Caenorhabditis elegans: one gene and its partner. The protein of the gene in region 1 purifies or fractionates together with the protein of each later gene. This does not show direct contact. Each region holds a gene or a part of one and is shown on either strand. Other genes may lie near its edges.

Region 1 (9,903 bases):
AGAACTACCGTAATCTGTATCCGTTTTTCTCAGTCCATTCAACAAAAGATCACAGATATCCTGGAGATTCTAGGCACACGATTGTTGGTTGAAAATGCCCGCGTCTTCATGGCTGCCATGAGGGGGCGGGCGGCAGAATGTGTAACAGAGAAGAAGAAGCTTCTTCGCTCTAAAATCTCTTTCTCTCTATTTCTATCAGATGCCAGTCGATGATGAGCACAATGAGCTGATGCTTCTACTCGCGGGAGCCGCCGAGGTCCCTACACTCCCACTCACTTTTTGTTTTTCCAATTTCATTTCTTCTTAGAACTTGAGATCATCACTCGAATTTCTTTACCTTTTTGTTAGTCATCTAAAAATTCAGTTGATTTTTGAATTTTCTACAGTTTTTTCAAAACGAATTTTGTTTGGAAATTACAGTTTTCTGGAAAATACATTTAAAAATACATCATGAAAATATTCAATTTTTGTAGAATGAAAAATTTGAAAATTATACACTAAGTTCAATTATTTTTTATTCAGAAAATTAAATTTATAAAATTATACTCCTGTGAAACAAATCAAGGTTTTTTAGCCTTTAAATTTTGTATCTAACCCTGCATAGAAAATTACTACGATTGCGGTGGTAGAATCGTATTTATTAGAATTAAAATTTTTAGGAAAAATGATTGCATTTCTAAAAGAATACTGTACTTTTTCGAACTAATAATACTTTCCCATTCGACTAGAAAACAAATTCTCATATTACAACAACTACTGTTTCGTCTGTTGCTCTGTCAAGCGAAGGCTCCCGCTTATCTCTAATCCACAATAATCCTTACACTATTTCTCTAATTGTCATCCTCTCATCACTTGTTGTCACCTGTTTTCTTATTTATCACTGATTACTAATAACTCTTTGAATTTTGAAGCAATATTACACTGACAAGATTCTAAACTTTACAAGTTTGAAATATTACAGTTTTTTTTTCAAATTACAGCCGGAAAACATTTGAATGACACGGGCCATTTCGACCGAATTTCGTTCCTAAAAACTGAAATTTAATTTTACGGTCTAGTGAAAAATTGGGAAATTCTGACTGGAAATCTTGTGGTTCAAGTAGTTGAGGCCAAAACTTATTAGTCTGATTTCTTTTAAAATAATAAAATGTATCAGCTAATTTGAGAAATGAAGCTTAACCTTTTCTCCTTAATCAAACTACTCTGCACCATATGAAAAACTTCCGAAAAGATCGCTACAAAAGAGAATCCATGATTTTTGTCTGTTATTTTTCTTTGTGTATATGTACAAGAAAAAAAACGATGATTCGTAGAGAAGAAACAACTTTTTTCAACTCTCGCCCTCCTGACTATATACATCAGAAAAAAAACTATTGAAAAGGTTTTCCCTCGTTGTTTTATATTGCATTGTCTACGTTTATTACATGAACATTTCTATTCGTTTTTTTTCTGTCAACTCTCTTTTTTTTTTTTAATGATTAATTTAATATCGTTAATTGATTTCAGAGGAAGGATGCCGCCAACTGAGGATCAAGTTGTTGCTGGTGAGTCATTTTTACTTCGATATCCGAAGAAGAAATATAAAGATTTATAAATAGTTTCAAATCTCTGAAAATGCTGAAAATTGTGATTTTTGAAATTTCATAAATTTTAATATTTCAAATTACACTGAAACAGCAACGTTTAAAGTCTAGCAGTGATCGTGCGAGCGTAATAGAAAAAATAGGGTATTTAACTTTTTAAAAAAGGTGTTTCCAAACTGTGCAAACTTTCAATAAGCTTCTGACCAACGATGAACCATATCTCCGAAAAATGGGCTTCAACTCCTTCTCCTCGCTTTCCGAACCTTTGTTGTTTGCCTTCGCGTCAGGAGCGGGGGCGGGAAAATAGGTCAAAACTGTCAAAAATTTGTATATTTTGTGTGTTATGTGAGTGCGTGTCTATGAGCTAATCATCAAATTTGATAGATTTTACGATTTTTTCTTCAGTTTTCAGATGTTTTGCCGTTACTCTGATCAGAGATCAAACTACATAGTGACGTAACGACACGCGCTTTATATATAGTAAATTGATTTTTATTAAAAATTTGAATAACTTGCAAGTTTATGTATAATGGTGAAACGTTTTTTTTCTGTAGATATATATTAACAATTTTTAGACTGTAGATCTCTACAATGAAATGATAATTTTTAAACTGGTTCAATCCAGTGAGCATTTACCAATCTACAAAAGCCTCGAAGCATTATGCATTCTAAAATTTACCTTTTAAAGAATTTTTATTTCGATACGAAATTTGAAAATAAATATAATCTATAGTAATTCTTCTCTCTAATTCCCTTGTTCGATGCTCCCACTAATCTTTTCGGGTATGGTGCTGCGACCTCTGTAGTAACCGAAAACTTAAACCGAACAGCCAACACAGAGACTCCTTTTCTAATGATCTTCCATCACTTTTTTAAGAGAAACTATCTCCTCCTAAAGAAATAGTATATGTTCTCGAGAGATTATAGAGAACAAATAGCAGGAAGAACAATTGGAAGTAAAAGAGAGAAGCAGAGACTTCTCAAATAATACAATATTGTTCTTTTCTAACAGTTAGTTTCTTCAACTTTTTTTCTTTTTTTCTAACTTATTTAAAACTTATTCTCCGATAAAGAGAAATAGAGTAGAGAGGGACGAGAGAAAGAAGAAGCTTCTCGCGCAATCAACCACTTCAGATCTCACTTTTTTGGGTTAAGGCTCACAAGTTTTTGTGTGTAGATAATGGTTTGCGCTCATTAGGTGAAAAGAGATTCAAGAGTACGGTTGATTGGTTCAATTGGAAGACTCATATAAAATGAAATAGAAAGTGTTCTAGACTGATCAAAGATTTTGCTTTACTTGCTTAGATGATTTATAGTAAACTTAGTATATAGAAAACCCTAAAGGTTGATAATGTTTTTGTTCAAAGTTAATATTTTAATATGAGTTTAGTTTTTTACCGGCCTGCTATTTTTAGACTTTAAGATTTCAAGTCAAAAATGGTTGAGAATCAGAGCTATCAATAAAAATTTAACTATCTCTAATGTATGCCGGAAAGTCTGAGCCTAATCCTAAGCCTCATTCCTCATCTAACTAGTTATACAAATCCCAGCTAGTATATAATTACCGCTCTAAGACTGTTATCTGTTAGAAAGGCACTGATATAGTTTGAATATTGTAAGCATTTAGGAATTTGCCTTGCTAGGCAACCACTAATGAAATTGGAAAATAAAAATTTGCCCTGCAAGGCCTTCCATCTCTATTGTTCTAGTACTATGAGCAACCTCCTAGACACCTAAACAATCAAAAAGGATCTCCAAAATCCACTTTTTCTCTACGTCTCATAATATTTCCCACAAAATTTACAAACATTTTGAGTGCTGTTCTGCCTAGTTTTTGTTCGAACAAAAAGTTCGCCTTGTTCCTCCAAGTAAAAGTTCAAACATATGTGTTCGTTGGAAGAGTAATCACGTTTTTCTTTACTCATCTCTCGCTCCTGGTACTTTATTAACTAGAACCAGTTTTCGTGCCGAGACCCTCCTCCGCTCATCATTTTTCTATTTTCTCTCTCTTTTCTGTGCATTCCGTACTGTCCTCTGTGAACTTTCTTGTCCACTGTGCTCATTTTTTGGTTTCATTTTTGTGAAATATTTTAAACAATTGGTTTAAAGAATGTTATCATTCAACAACACAACATCTGCATCTAGTTTTCAATCTGCTTCATCAAGATATTTAATGTCATCATCATCATCAATTGGACCACCACAACAACAATCTGCAAAACTATTTCCTGAGCATTTCTATCCAAGTGGACTAAGTCCAAGACAGTCGGAAGCTCTCGAACGATTGCGACCCAATACGGCGTCGCGCGAACGAAATATTCCGATTCAATTTACCGGAAAGAATCCAACAACAAATTCAGCTCTTGAGGAGTATAAACCAGTACCACACGTACAAGTTACATCTCCAAAGTCTTCAATTGTTCCGAATTTTGTTTCCGAGCAACGCGGGCTTCAGCCTCAACCAACATCTCAAGCTCCAACCAATTATCGGCAATTCGTGGCTGCACCACGATCGCCACGTGGATATGGAGACTATCCAGAAATGACGGGAAAAGCTTCTGCTGCTGGGGATTCAGAGCCTGTTCAAATCCCAATAAAAACTCAAACTCCAATTACACAAGCTCGTGCTCAAGAAACTAAAATTCCAACAATTGTGTCACCACACCCTGTTTATTATTATGACAATCAGGAGCAACCAATTCAACAAATTCGAGGTTTTTTTGTTTTTCTTTGCGTCTTAACTAATATCTCAAATTTTATTTGAGATAACTGTGTGCTGTCTTAGTCTTTGTCCCATGTCCAGACACTTATTACTGATAACCAGTTTTTTCGGAAATCAAAAAAAAGCAACAGTTATCAAAAATCAGAGAAATCACTTCAAACTTAACCGCTCCTATATTCAAATTTTCGTTTATTTTCAGAGGAGCAACCAAATGCCACCATGGAGACCAAAGTCACCGGACAAGGTCAGCCAAAGCGTGTCGGACGCTGGACATTGGCTCAACTCCGTCAAACTGACGGAATTATTCCAAGCCAGGCCGGATGGAACAAGGGAGACTCACAAAAGTTGATGACCAACTTCGGAACACCAAGAAACACTAACACTCGTGTCAAGTCTGAGAACCTTCAGGTATGGAAATTTTATGGTCAGATTTACTTGGGTATGTGGAAGAATTTATTTTAATAGAAGCAAAATCTAGGTCACCGTTTATGTTATTTGTCTTTAAGGATACAAAACTTCAAAGGTTCTTACTCACTTTATCTCTTCTGAAATGAAAAAAATCTTTAAATGTCATTTCTTGGTACCTCCACAATTTGTTTCATTCAACGTCAAGTATTTAAAGGAATTCCAAAATTTTCAAATATAAATTTTCCAGGAAATCCCAGAAGATATTGCCAACCGAACCCATGGAGAAGTTCGTCTTCAATCCGGAACCAACAAATATTGCTCCCAGAGAGGAATGACCGGATTCGGATCCGGACGTGATGTGTGCCGTGAGGGAGTCCGTGTCGCTCAGAACCCAGCTGACTTGGCTGTAAGTTACTTTTACATAGTAGCTCTGTAACCTTTCATCACTTCAGTAAAAAAAAGTGACAGAAACAAAATAAATTATTTCTCTAATTTCCCACATTTCTGTTCCAATGTGTGTGGAACGTCTTATAGATTACGGTATTTTTTTCTGTGAACTTAGAGTAACGGATGAACAAATACTTGATTTAAAGATCAGGGATATTCTTTTGTGAACGCAAATAAACAATAATTAACATATATATATTTTTTTACAGGAGCTTCCAGAAGAAAAGATCCGTATGTCCGAGGGAATTGTCCGTCTTCAAGCCGGTACCAACAAATATGATTCTCAAAAGGGAATGACCGGATTCGGAACTGGACGTCGTGAGACAACTAAGATGGTTGACTCAAAGCATCCAGAATACGATCACGAGAAACCAGATCAATCTGAAATTCCACTTCAGTCTGGAACAAACAAATTCGCTTCACAAAAGGGAATGACCGGTTTCGGAACTGCTCGTCGTGAGACCACAAAGATGGTTGATTCTAACCATCCAGATTACTCTCATGAATGTTCCATTGATCAAACCACAATTCCATCTCAGATGGGATCTAATCAATATGCTTCACAGAAGGGTATGACTGGATTCGGACAGCCACGTTGGGAAGTTCTCGACCCATCAATCTCATGGCAAAACCGTAAATCCCAGGGAATGGTCCGTCTTCAATCTGGTACCAACCGTTTTGCTTCTCAAGCTGTAAGTTTTCTTTAGATTATTTATAGAATTTAAATAAATAAAATTCATTTTCAGGGTATGATTGGCTTCGGAACATGCAGAAACACAACATTCGAGGCTGAAGGAGGAGAGCTTCCATATGAGGCAATGAAGGTGTCTGAGACCATCATTCCAAGTCAAGCTGGATGGAACAAGGGAGACTCACAGAAGGTTTGTCGATTGTTAATAACATATAACGGAACCCTTGATTATGACATTCTAGTGTATCCTGAATTTGTCCTGTATTCAGAAACTATTTGTAGATTCTCGCGAATTTCTATCACCAACGTGTTTAATTCTATAATTCCCTAAGTCCGAGGTCTTGACACGATCGGATATTTTAAAATTAAGCCTGTGCCTTTGAGAGTAGAACTTGTGTAACTTTTCCGCTAGGAATATTTTTAATAGTAGGGGTGTCAATAAGTTCCGGGTCAAAATTCATAACTTTTTTCGTGGCGAATCGATTTTTCTGAAAATGTGGGAATTTATGTGATCAAACATGGTCTTTCATTTGACGGTACTTTCAAAAAGTTTTGACCACTCCATGTATCCCAGCTCGGAGACACTTTTTTCAGGCGTATGCCTGATCTCGCTTCTTTGTAACTTTCAATTGAGACTTATGTGCGGATTTTGATTAATTAAGTATACAATGTAAAAATACAATAAAAATTTAAGAAACAATTGGTTCAAAAAAAATTTTTTTTTGGTTCGTCAAAAAATCCTCGAAAAAATTTTTGTCGAAAGTTCTTGATTTTTTGTACAGGAATGATGCAACCAAGTCTGAACAATTTTTAACACACAAAACTTTTGAAACGTGATTTTTATGATTTTTTAGTCCATTTTTTGAAATTTTTGAGAATTTCTCTAAATCTAAATGTTAAATTCAAAAGTTTTGTGTGTTAAATTGTTCAGACTTGGTTGCATCATTCCTGTACAAAAAATCAAGAACTTTCGACAAAAATTTTTTCGAGGATTTTTTGACAAACCAAAAAAAATTTTTTTTTGAACCAATTTTTTCTTAAATTTTTATTGTATTTTTACATTGTATACTTAATTAATCAAAATCCGCACATAAGTCTCAATTGAAAGTTACAAAGAAGCGAGATCAGGCATACGCCTGAAAAAAGTGTCTCCGAGCTGGGATACATGGAGTGGTCAAAACTTTTTGAAAGTACCGTCAAATGAAAGACCATGTTTGATCACATAAATTCCCACATTTTCAGAAAAATCGATTCGCCACGAAAAAAGTTATGAATTTTGACCCGGAACTTATTGACACCCCTAATAGAAACCTAAAATGGTAGAAAAACCGTTACTGTATTATTCAAAGGCGCATACCTTTTTGCAAACATTTTTGCGCGGCCTCGATTTTCAAAATATTTCGATCGTGGCGAGAGCAGGTACCGTATTATCAAATTATGTGCAAGTTGATTTTAAAAAAACATATAAATACATTCTAAAAAGAAGAAAAATGACCAAACTTTTAAGTTTAAAACTACGATTTCCTTTAAAAAAAAACAAATTATTGAAACAAATTCTAATTTTTCATAATTTTTCAGAAGATGACATCATTCGGAGCACCACGTGACGTTAAGGGCAAGCACTTGAAGAGAATCTGGGAGCTTGAATACCCAGAAGAGGCTGAAATCTCTTTGGATCGTCTCTAAATCATTTTTCTCCGTGTTTTTTTTTCTTTCGTAAATTACATGATACCTGTGCATAATTTGCTTCAACTTCTTCTCCAAATGTTTCTTCTTATTCTTCAAAAAAAACTACTTTTTTGTTTGTTCTCCATCCCATTTCCCTGCTTTCCTTCCTATTCTTTTCACACCCAAACAAGTTCATCATATAAATTTGAAATTTTTCGATTGTTTTCTTTTTTGCGTAAGTTGCAGCCAAAAATGAGCAATTTTAGCGAAGAATTATTCTTGTTATTTTAAACCACTTGCATTTAGTTTTCTAAATGAAATTCACAGAGATGCGACAAGCCATAGATTTACTTAAAAATATATGTTTATTCTATGAAAACCCGTACGGAACTTTCAGGCAATATACTAAAAATTTAACAAAAAATTAAAAAATTAGTTCGTGTTCAGGGCGTTCAGTTTTTCCATCATATTGTCATTGAGAGCCTTCCAGAATAGACCTTCTTCGCATTCGATGTCTGTTGTGAAGAATACCTGCAAATATTTTAATGAATACATTATTTGATTTCTCGATTTTTAAGCCAAAGGTTATTTTTTACAAAAAAAGGTTTTTAAAAATGTGTGGAGTTTTGTTCTTTTCATATAATTTATTTTTCATTACCGCGGAAGTAGTCACACCCATTTAAGCAAAAGTGGCCTTATTTTAATTTTCGAAAAAAATTATTTTCAGCGAAAATTTTGTTACGAAAATTATTTTCTGCCTAAAAATTATAATTGCGACATGATCATCAATTATAACTTTTTGTTCATAATTTCCAAGCTAATATTACACAATATTTGAGAAAATACTTGAAATACGGAATTTTTTAGAATAAATTCAATCTCTCAAAAACAAAATGTTGTTTTTTTTTGGTTTTTCTGGTTGCATCGGTTTCAGATAAAAATGAGAATTTCCTCGAGTTTTTTATTTCGAAATGAACGTTTTTTCAAAAATACCTGTGTGAATCTCGATGTTTTTGTTAACCGAAGAGTAGTTGATTTAATGAATTCTCGTTGCGTATTCTCTCCATCGACGAGCATTGTGAAGTTTGGAAAATGTGCAAGCCCGATTGAATCGATTTTACTGAAAACTAACATTTTTAAACAAACTGTTCATTTTTGACTATGGTTTTTTATCAAATAGCTTGATTTCATAATTGAAACGAATAGCTTTATTTTTTAAAAGATGAATAAAAAAAATTTAAAATACCTTTCTCCAACCCAAATCCATGCACTTTCTGTTGAATAAAGAACATATCCGTTGAGATCTCGATTGCATATCTTTTCGGAAAACTCTATTCTTTGAATTGGTGACATTTTCGGGTAGAAATTTCTGAAGAACAAGAAGATTTTAAAATTGAATCCAACTGGAAAACGCGCCGAAGGAAAAAAATCGATGTTCGAGAGGAGTACACGAGATAGCTCGGCCATGTGGAAACTAGTCCACGAGGTGCCTTTTTAGCAAATATTGGAAAAATGGATTTTTCTTAATTATGAAGAATTTTAAGTCTGTTTTAATAGATTTCATCGAAAAAACATTCAATTATTATCCCAAAACAAAAATTCCAGATTTTCTTACAAATGCGGTTTAAGCAATGCATAATATTCTCCATCATTGTATCGATTTTCGCAGAAAAAGAGCGGATGGTTCGATTTTTCAATTCAAAATCTTAAAATTTATAAAAACTGTTTTACAGATGGATGGTTCTGTTTCCCCGTCAGATCATAAAAAGCCAGCTTCTGAGCAGAAATTAAACTTAAAATCTGGCCAAGAAAGCGTAGAAAAATTTGCGAAAGCTTTGGATACAAATAATGATGGTTTTGTAGGTAATATTTAGACTTTCTATAATATAAGAATAGAAAATCCAATATATGTACCAATGATGTTTCAGATAAAAGTGAAATTCTTGCATGGGTATCCGAATCATATCAGAAAACTGTTGATAGAGAAGCAGTAGAGAGAATTAGTGAGCTTGATGAGAACGCTGATGGATTTGTGAGTTTTTCTAATTATAAGAAATATTTAAAATTTTGCACTTTACTTTTTTTTTTAGCTTTTAACATGACTCTAATCTTTTAAAATCTACTTCCAAATTTTATCTACTTCCAAAATGTGTTCTGAGAGTTGAATTGTTTCGAATTTATTAATGCAAAAGTTTATTGAATGTAATTTTTTCTTAATTCATAACTTGAGTATTTGTATATATATATATATTTTTTTTTTTTTAGTTATATTTCAAAAATACGCTTTTTTCTCTCGTAGATAGGAAACATGTGAGGTATCAAACCACCCGGTGTGAGAAAAATGTAAATTTGTATATTGTAGGTATCGTGGGAAGAATACTTGG
Region 2 (5,786 bases), on another chromosome or scaffold:
AATACTGAAATAAAAACTAATAAGACAATGTTCAAAATAAGAATTTTCAGCAACCAACTTCCTTCTATGAAAGTCTATAAACGGCGTGAGGCAAACTGCTCCTCACTTTTCTCAGGTAAATCCAAATTTTTCTCGGAATTCAATCATACTGCTTCGTTTTAGATGTAACTTGTTCTGGATACACTGGAATTGATTTCGACCGAAAAGTAATCGTTCTCTCGGTTCGTGGATCACACGGTGATCATCAATATTATGATTTGTGGAAAATCGGAAATTTTAAGTTGGTTTTAACATATTTTACTCTTAAAATCAGATTAATTTCAGTGGAACAGTCCCATTTCTAAATATTGGAAGAGTTACGAAGAAGTTTAATGACAACTTTGAATCATTATGGTATAGTGGATTGGGTGAAGATTTGCAAAATTTGATTGATGCCTATCCGGATTATCAGTTATGGGTGGGTAAAGGGTTTGAAAATTATTAAGTATGGATGTATAGTTTAAGACAGTACAATAAACACGACAACATGAATATTGCGGGAAGTCAAGGTTTGAGTTGTGTGACGTCACACGAAGTACGGTTCTTGTTATTAATTTAAACCTTAACTTTTAAAATGTTGGGAAGTGAAGTTTCAGTATCACGAATTCTTAAAAACATTTCGTTTCATTTTCAACACCTGAAGTGAATCCCCTCAACCCCAGAATTTCAGATAACTGGGTACTCGATGGGTGCATCAATTGCATTACTTACATCTGCATTCATTGCTCAAACTGGAATGAGCTCTCCTTACAATATGAAAGTAATTTTATTTGGATGTCCTAGATGTACAGATTATGATTTTGCAATGTGGCATAGTACCAACGTAACGAGATAAATAGAGAACGTCTAAGTTTAAAAGTTCATATTTCAGTTTCCATATTCTTACCACATTATCCACGCACATGACTATGCACCACGTCTCCCTTTCTTTGATAATATTGATAACACAACACTTTATCACCCACGAAGTGAAGTTTGGTACAACAATGATATGCGTGAAGGCGACTCTTTTGTCATTTGCGAGCAAGCAGATCAACCGTTTTGCAGGTTTTCGCAACATTTCTTATCAGCAACTATCAACAAAAATGTTTGATTTTTTCAGCAGTCAGGTGCAGAACCTGTCAAATGCCGACCATGCACATTATTTTAATATGGACTTGTACAGATGGTCAGCTGATGGATGTCCGAAGAATAAGGAAGATTACAGGCCAATTGCAGAGAGTGCGGTTAAAAATGGGAAGACGTTCAGTTATGATCTTTTGATTGTGATATTGGGTGCTGTAATAATATTTTTATAAAAAGCATAATATGTACACCAAGTATTTGTCAATAAAAATATATTCTTATTATTACATCGGAACTTTTAAAAAGTTTGCATTTTCAGGAAAAATGTACTACAAATTTGGAAAATACAATAAATGGGGGACAGAGATATAGATAAATAAATAATTCGCAAATTGATAATTCATCAATAATCGTGATCCAATTACCGTATTTCATTTAACAAATTATACTAATTTGACAGCACAGATATCAGTTCTTTTTTTTTGACACGACAAGAGAACCAAGAAATGAACTGCCACAGTTAACTGCAGTAGAAAAAACACAGTATTCAAGTCTCCTTCTCAATATCCTTCAATTTCTTCTTTTTCTCTGCTTTCTTGCGTTCTTGAATCTCTTGAAGAGCCACCACCAACTTATCGGCGTCGATCATTTTTCCAGGATATCCTGTATTATTCACAACAACTTGTTGCTGTTGCCGTCTTATTTCCGCTTCTTTTTTCAGTCGCTCTTCTTCCTCCATTTCACGCTTCTTCTTTTCTTTTGCTCCAAGTCTGAAAAATTGGATTAAAGGTGTTGTAGGGTCAGTACGGATGTTTTCTGCATTCAAATAACAAAATAATAAACTCTTAAAATCTTTGCATTTTTTGGAAACTTTGTTCATTGCTTCAAAAAATGAAAGTATAGGGAAATAAGTGAAACTATTTATAGGTGCACATCACGCTCAGCGGACCACATAACTTCATATACTCGCTAAACTATTCATTTCGAAATTAATTTCAAGCCCTGATTTTCAGAAAAGTACCACCACAGAAACTAATAAAACAAAAACATACAAAATATCTTCTTGCTCTTGTTTCATCTCCCATGGATCTTTTTCTGGACCATCTCTCCGTTGATTATTATAACAATTATTTAATAAATGTTCTCTCCAATTCTCTTCATTATCCTCCACTGCAATTGTGCACAAAGGACACCATTGTGCTCCTGTCGGGGGACGTCTTCCACGACACATTGGATGACTTCCTCCACGTTTTTGATCTTCTTTCTCAATTGCTAATCCACAGTCATTACAAGCTTCCATCGTGTCTTGGAGAAATTCACAACGATATATTAAGTGATCAGTGAGTTGAGATACCTAAATGGAAATTTACGATTTAAACCTGAAAAAGAGCCTACCATTGTCAACTTCATACAATACTTGCAACTTGTCATAACTTTGCAATATTTAGCAAAGTGTTTTTCCATTCCACCTGCTCTACCAAGACCTGACTCTGTTAATTGACAATGTGGGCATCTTCTGGAAATTAGAAAATATGTAGAAATTTATATACATTTAGATCTCTTCCCTTACCCCACATATGTTGGCATTTTATATGGATCATCCTGAACTGTGGATCCTCCTGGCAACGGAGTATCGACTACTGGAATTGCCTCTGGAACGTGTCCGATAGTTGAAAGGCGCTGATTTTTTCTAGTTGTTTTTGGCTGAAATGTTACTTTATTTTTCCAATATTTATTATTTTAATGTCAGTCTACTTTTGATGGTTCCGTTGGAATAACTCTCCGTTCTGGGGATCTTGTGGTTGCCTTTGACGTCATTCTTTGATCTCCATTATCATTATTTCCTCTGTTACTTTGCCTACTTTCAGTTTTTCTTCCTTTTGGTGTTTCAGCTCTTTTCCTAGGTTTCATAGGTGTCATTGGCTTCCAATCATCTGATGGCATTGGATTCTTATCAGGTGTCCATTTTGAATTGACTCCAAATGCTTTCATAGTTCCATCTTCCATCATTAAATCTGAATATGCATTTCTGATTGCATCAGACTTCACTCTATCCATATCCTTTGCTATCTGTTCAGCCTGCCGTGAGTCTCCTCTGACAACTGCGTCGCTTCTCTTGTGACTCAAATCGACAAGTTGTTTCTCGGCTTTTGATAGATCATCACAAGCTGATTGGCACAAATGTGATTTGACAGGTTCGTCCTTGTCACGATGCTCAAGGGACATGACTCGGAGATTGTTACGGAGAGTTCGGACTGATGCCAATGGATCGGCTCCAACATCTGAGCTCCGTTCGTCGTAGCCTTGCATTTTATACTCATTTTTGGGTCTGCAAGGTATCTAGTGAGGTAACGGATCATGAAAAACTGCACGATGTCTAGGATTTTGAAAGCTATTAATACAACTGACTTCTGACAATGAATCCAGAAATCAAAAAAGTACTTACAATCCATAATCTCCAATCTCTTTCTTCTCTTTTTCTTTTTCTTTGTCTATTGGCTTGAATCTTCCACCATTCCTCGAGCTCGCACGACTTCCCATTCCAGCAGCATTCCGTCGTTCTTTGTAATCGTCGTACTCCAGATCAAAGTTCCTAGATGACGACATTGGGGGAAGAATAATAGTTGTAAAAAAATATTTTGAAGAAAGTTTGGAAAGAAGGACGATGCTTGGAGCTAATCTATAATTCCCTTTTCTTTACATTTTTTTTGTTGGGTGTGTTACTATGGAAAGGAGAATAATGAAATGTTGAAAAGAAACAAATATACTAAACAAAAATTATATCGAAGGTTAAAGGAAAGCAGGTGTTTTGAGTAATACATTCTTCAATTAAACACTTTCAGGCGTAAGGAAGGCATGCAACAGGCATGTAAATAAGAATGTTAGTTGGGAAATATGATGATCGTGGGTCTGTCTACCTAAGAGCCTGCATGTTAACCATTTACCTTCGTACATGCCTATTCTGACCTTTCTCTTTGCCGGATGTTTGTTTTTAGGTTTTGGTCATAATGTTGACATCAACCTTTGGCATATCTTATTGAGTTTGTTCTCTTTGTATTTTTTTTCATACAGTTTCGGATACGTTTTCCTGGCTAGAGTTTCCCAGGTATGACTACTTGTTTGATTCTAATTGAAAGGTCACTTTTGTTTTTTATGTTTTTTAATGAATTAGTTGGTGTTTGACTTGTTTACAATTGTCTGATACACCATTTGTTTTGAAAATGATATACTTTGAGGTAACAAATAATCAGATCATCTCTTAGTATATTTTCTCGTACAGGTGTATATAAATTGATTAAATCTACTTATTTTCCATGGAAACTAATACAATTTGTGGACTACAACCACACTTTTCTGTCAAGCTTTTTTTTTATCAAAAAGATATATAACAACAAATCTCTCTTTTTTTCCGAATTATCTTCTTTTTCTTATCTTTTCCTGAGATTTCGTAAACATGTTGTTTTCTGAGAGCATAGCTATTGGTTCTTTGTTGGTTCCATTCTTCCATCCCGGCCTTTTTTACTTTATCATTTTGTTCTCAACAAAAGAATTTCAGAATGAAGCTTATAATCCTTTTGTGCCTTGTTGCCTCAAGCTATGCTTTAATTGGAAATACCCAATCGGCTGGAGTACGTGGAAAACTGATCTGCAATGGAAAACCAGCTGTTGGAGTTTTGGTCAAGTTGTATGATGATGATAGAGGTAATCAAAAACTTTTTTGAATATTTCCTAAAAGTCTATTTCTAGGAATCGATGCCGATGATTTGATGGCTTCTGGAAAGACCAATGGCAACGGAGATTTTGAAATTTCTGGACACGAAGATGAAGTGACTCCAATCGACCCAAAACTTAACATTTACCATGACTGCAATGATGGAATTAAGGTTTCTGGATGACTTTATTACATTTTAAGATAATTGAATTTTCAGCCCTGCCAACGCAAGTTCACTATCAAGATCCCAGATAGCTACATCAACAAGGGAAAGGTAAGAAGATTAAAAAAACTGGAAGTAAACTGAAATTAATATTTTCAGACTGTCCGTAATATTTACGATGCCGGAGTCATTCAACTTGCTGGATCTTTCCCAGGAGAAGGACGTGACTGTCTTCACTAAACTTACCAACTTATATATACTCTTTTTTCTTGAAATAAATCTTTTTAAAATAACAATTTTGGATTGCAACTTCAAATTTTTCAGAGAAAACATTTCGATCCTATTTTCTATAAAAATAAAGTATAACTGGAATATTCAGGAATGCAATAAATATAGATATTTTCCCTATAGTGCAAGAATCACAGGGGATACTGCAATCCTCGAAAACACATTTTATCCGTGATTTCGAATTTTAAAAAACTCATTGAAATATTTAAAATCATTCCTAGAAGATTATCGTTGTAAATTTTATAAATACCACCAATTTGTGCTGGATATTGAATTGAATTTTTTTAATATCGACAGTAATCTACTACGGCCAACAATTTTCGTACCGTCACTTGGTGTAATGTCCGCAAACACCACCACGTCGGAATGCACAAACTGGCCAACACGCATTCTTTTTTATTGTGTCTTCTTTTTTCTTTTTTAAAGTTATAAATATTGACGTTATTTAAAGCATAGAATTGTGAGAGAATGGAAAAACGCATCTAAATACTTTGAAATATAATATTCTCTTCAAAAAAA

Evidence for each region.
Region 2: the proteins of unc-87 (region 1) and ttr-5 fractionate together in Caenorhabditis elegans (co-fractionation; one large-scale study listed by BioGRID). This does not show direct contact.

What each region holds. Positions count from the first base shown.
Region 1 is NC_003279.8:6,759,401-6,769,303, reverse strand, and holds unc-87 (Protein unc-87), read left to right. Parts: upstream 1-3,613; 5' UTR 3,614-3,693; coding exon 3,694-4,297; intron 4,298-4,504; coding exon 4,505-4,713; intron 4,714-4,960; coding exon 4,961-5,119; intron 5,120-5,369; coding exon 5,370-5,852; intron 5,853-5,906; coding exon 5,907-6,041; intron 6,042-7,429; coding exon 7,430-7,537; 3' UTR 7,538-7,951; coding exon of another isoform or gene 7,952-8,050; 3' UTR 8,051-8,083; downstream 8,084-9,903. Other genes in the region: F08B6.1 (BPH_3 domain-containing protein), read right to left, coding at 7,952-8,050, 8,513-8,639, 8,766-8,872; calu-2 (EF-hand domain-containing protein), read left to right, coding at 9,137-9,202, 9,253-9,382, 9,448-9,551, 9,882-9,903. UniProt on the Caenorhabditis elegans protein: Thin filament-associated protein that is implicated in actin bundling and actin filament dynamics. Exhibits F-actin cross-linking activity. Required for the maintenance of sarcomeric actin organization in striated muscles.
Region 2 is NC_003281.10:9,325,656-9,331,441, forward strand, and holds ttr-5 (Transthyretin-like protein 5), read left to right. Parts: upstream 1-4,660; 5' UTR 4,661-4,661; coding exon 4,662-4,806; intron 4,807-4,851; coding exon 4,852-4,988; intron 4,989-5,033; coding exon 5,034-5,090; intron 5,091-5,138; coding exon 5,139-5,219; 3' UTR 5,220-5,273; downstream 5,274-5,786. Other genes in the region: C40H1.7 (Fungal lipase-type domain-containing protein), read left to right, coding at 51-115, 163-280, 325-457, 710-862, 911-1,086, 1,142-1,337; cepr-104.1 (CEntrosomal Protein Related), read right to left, coding at 1,652-1,874, 2,157-2,458, 2,500-2,620, 2,675-2,808, 2,860-3,433, 3,551-3,711.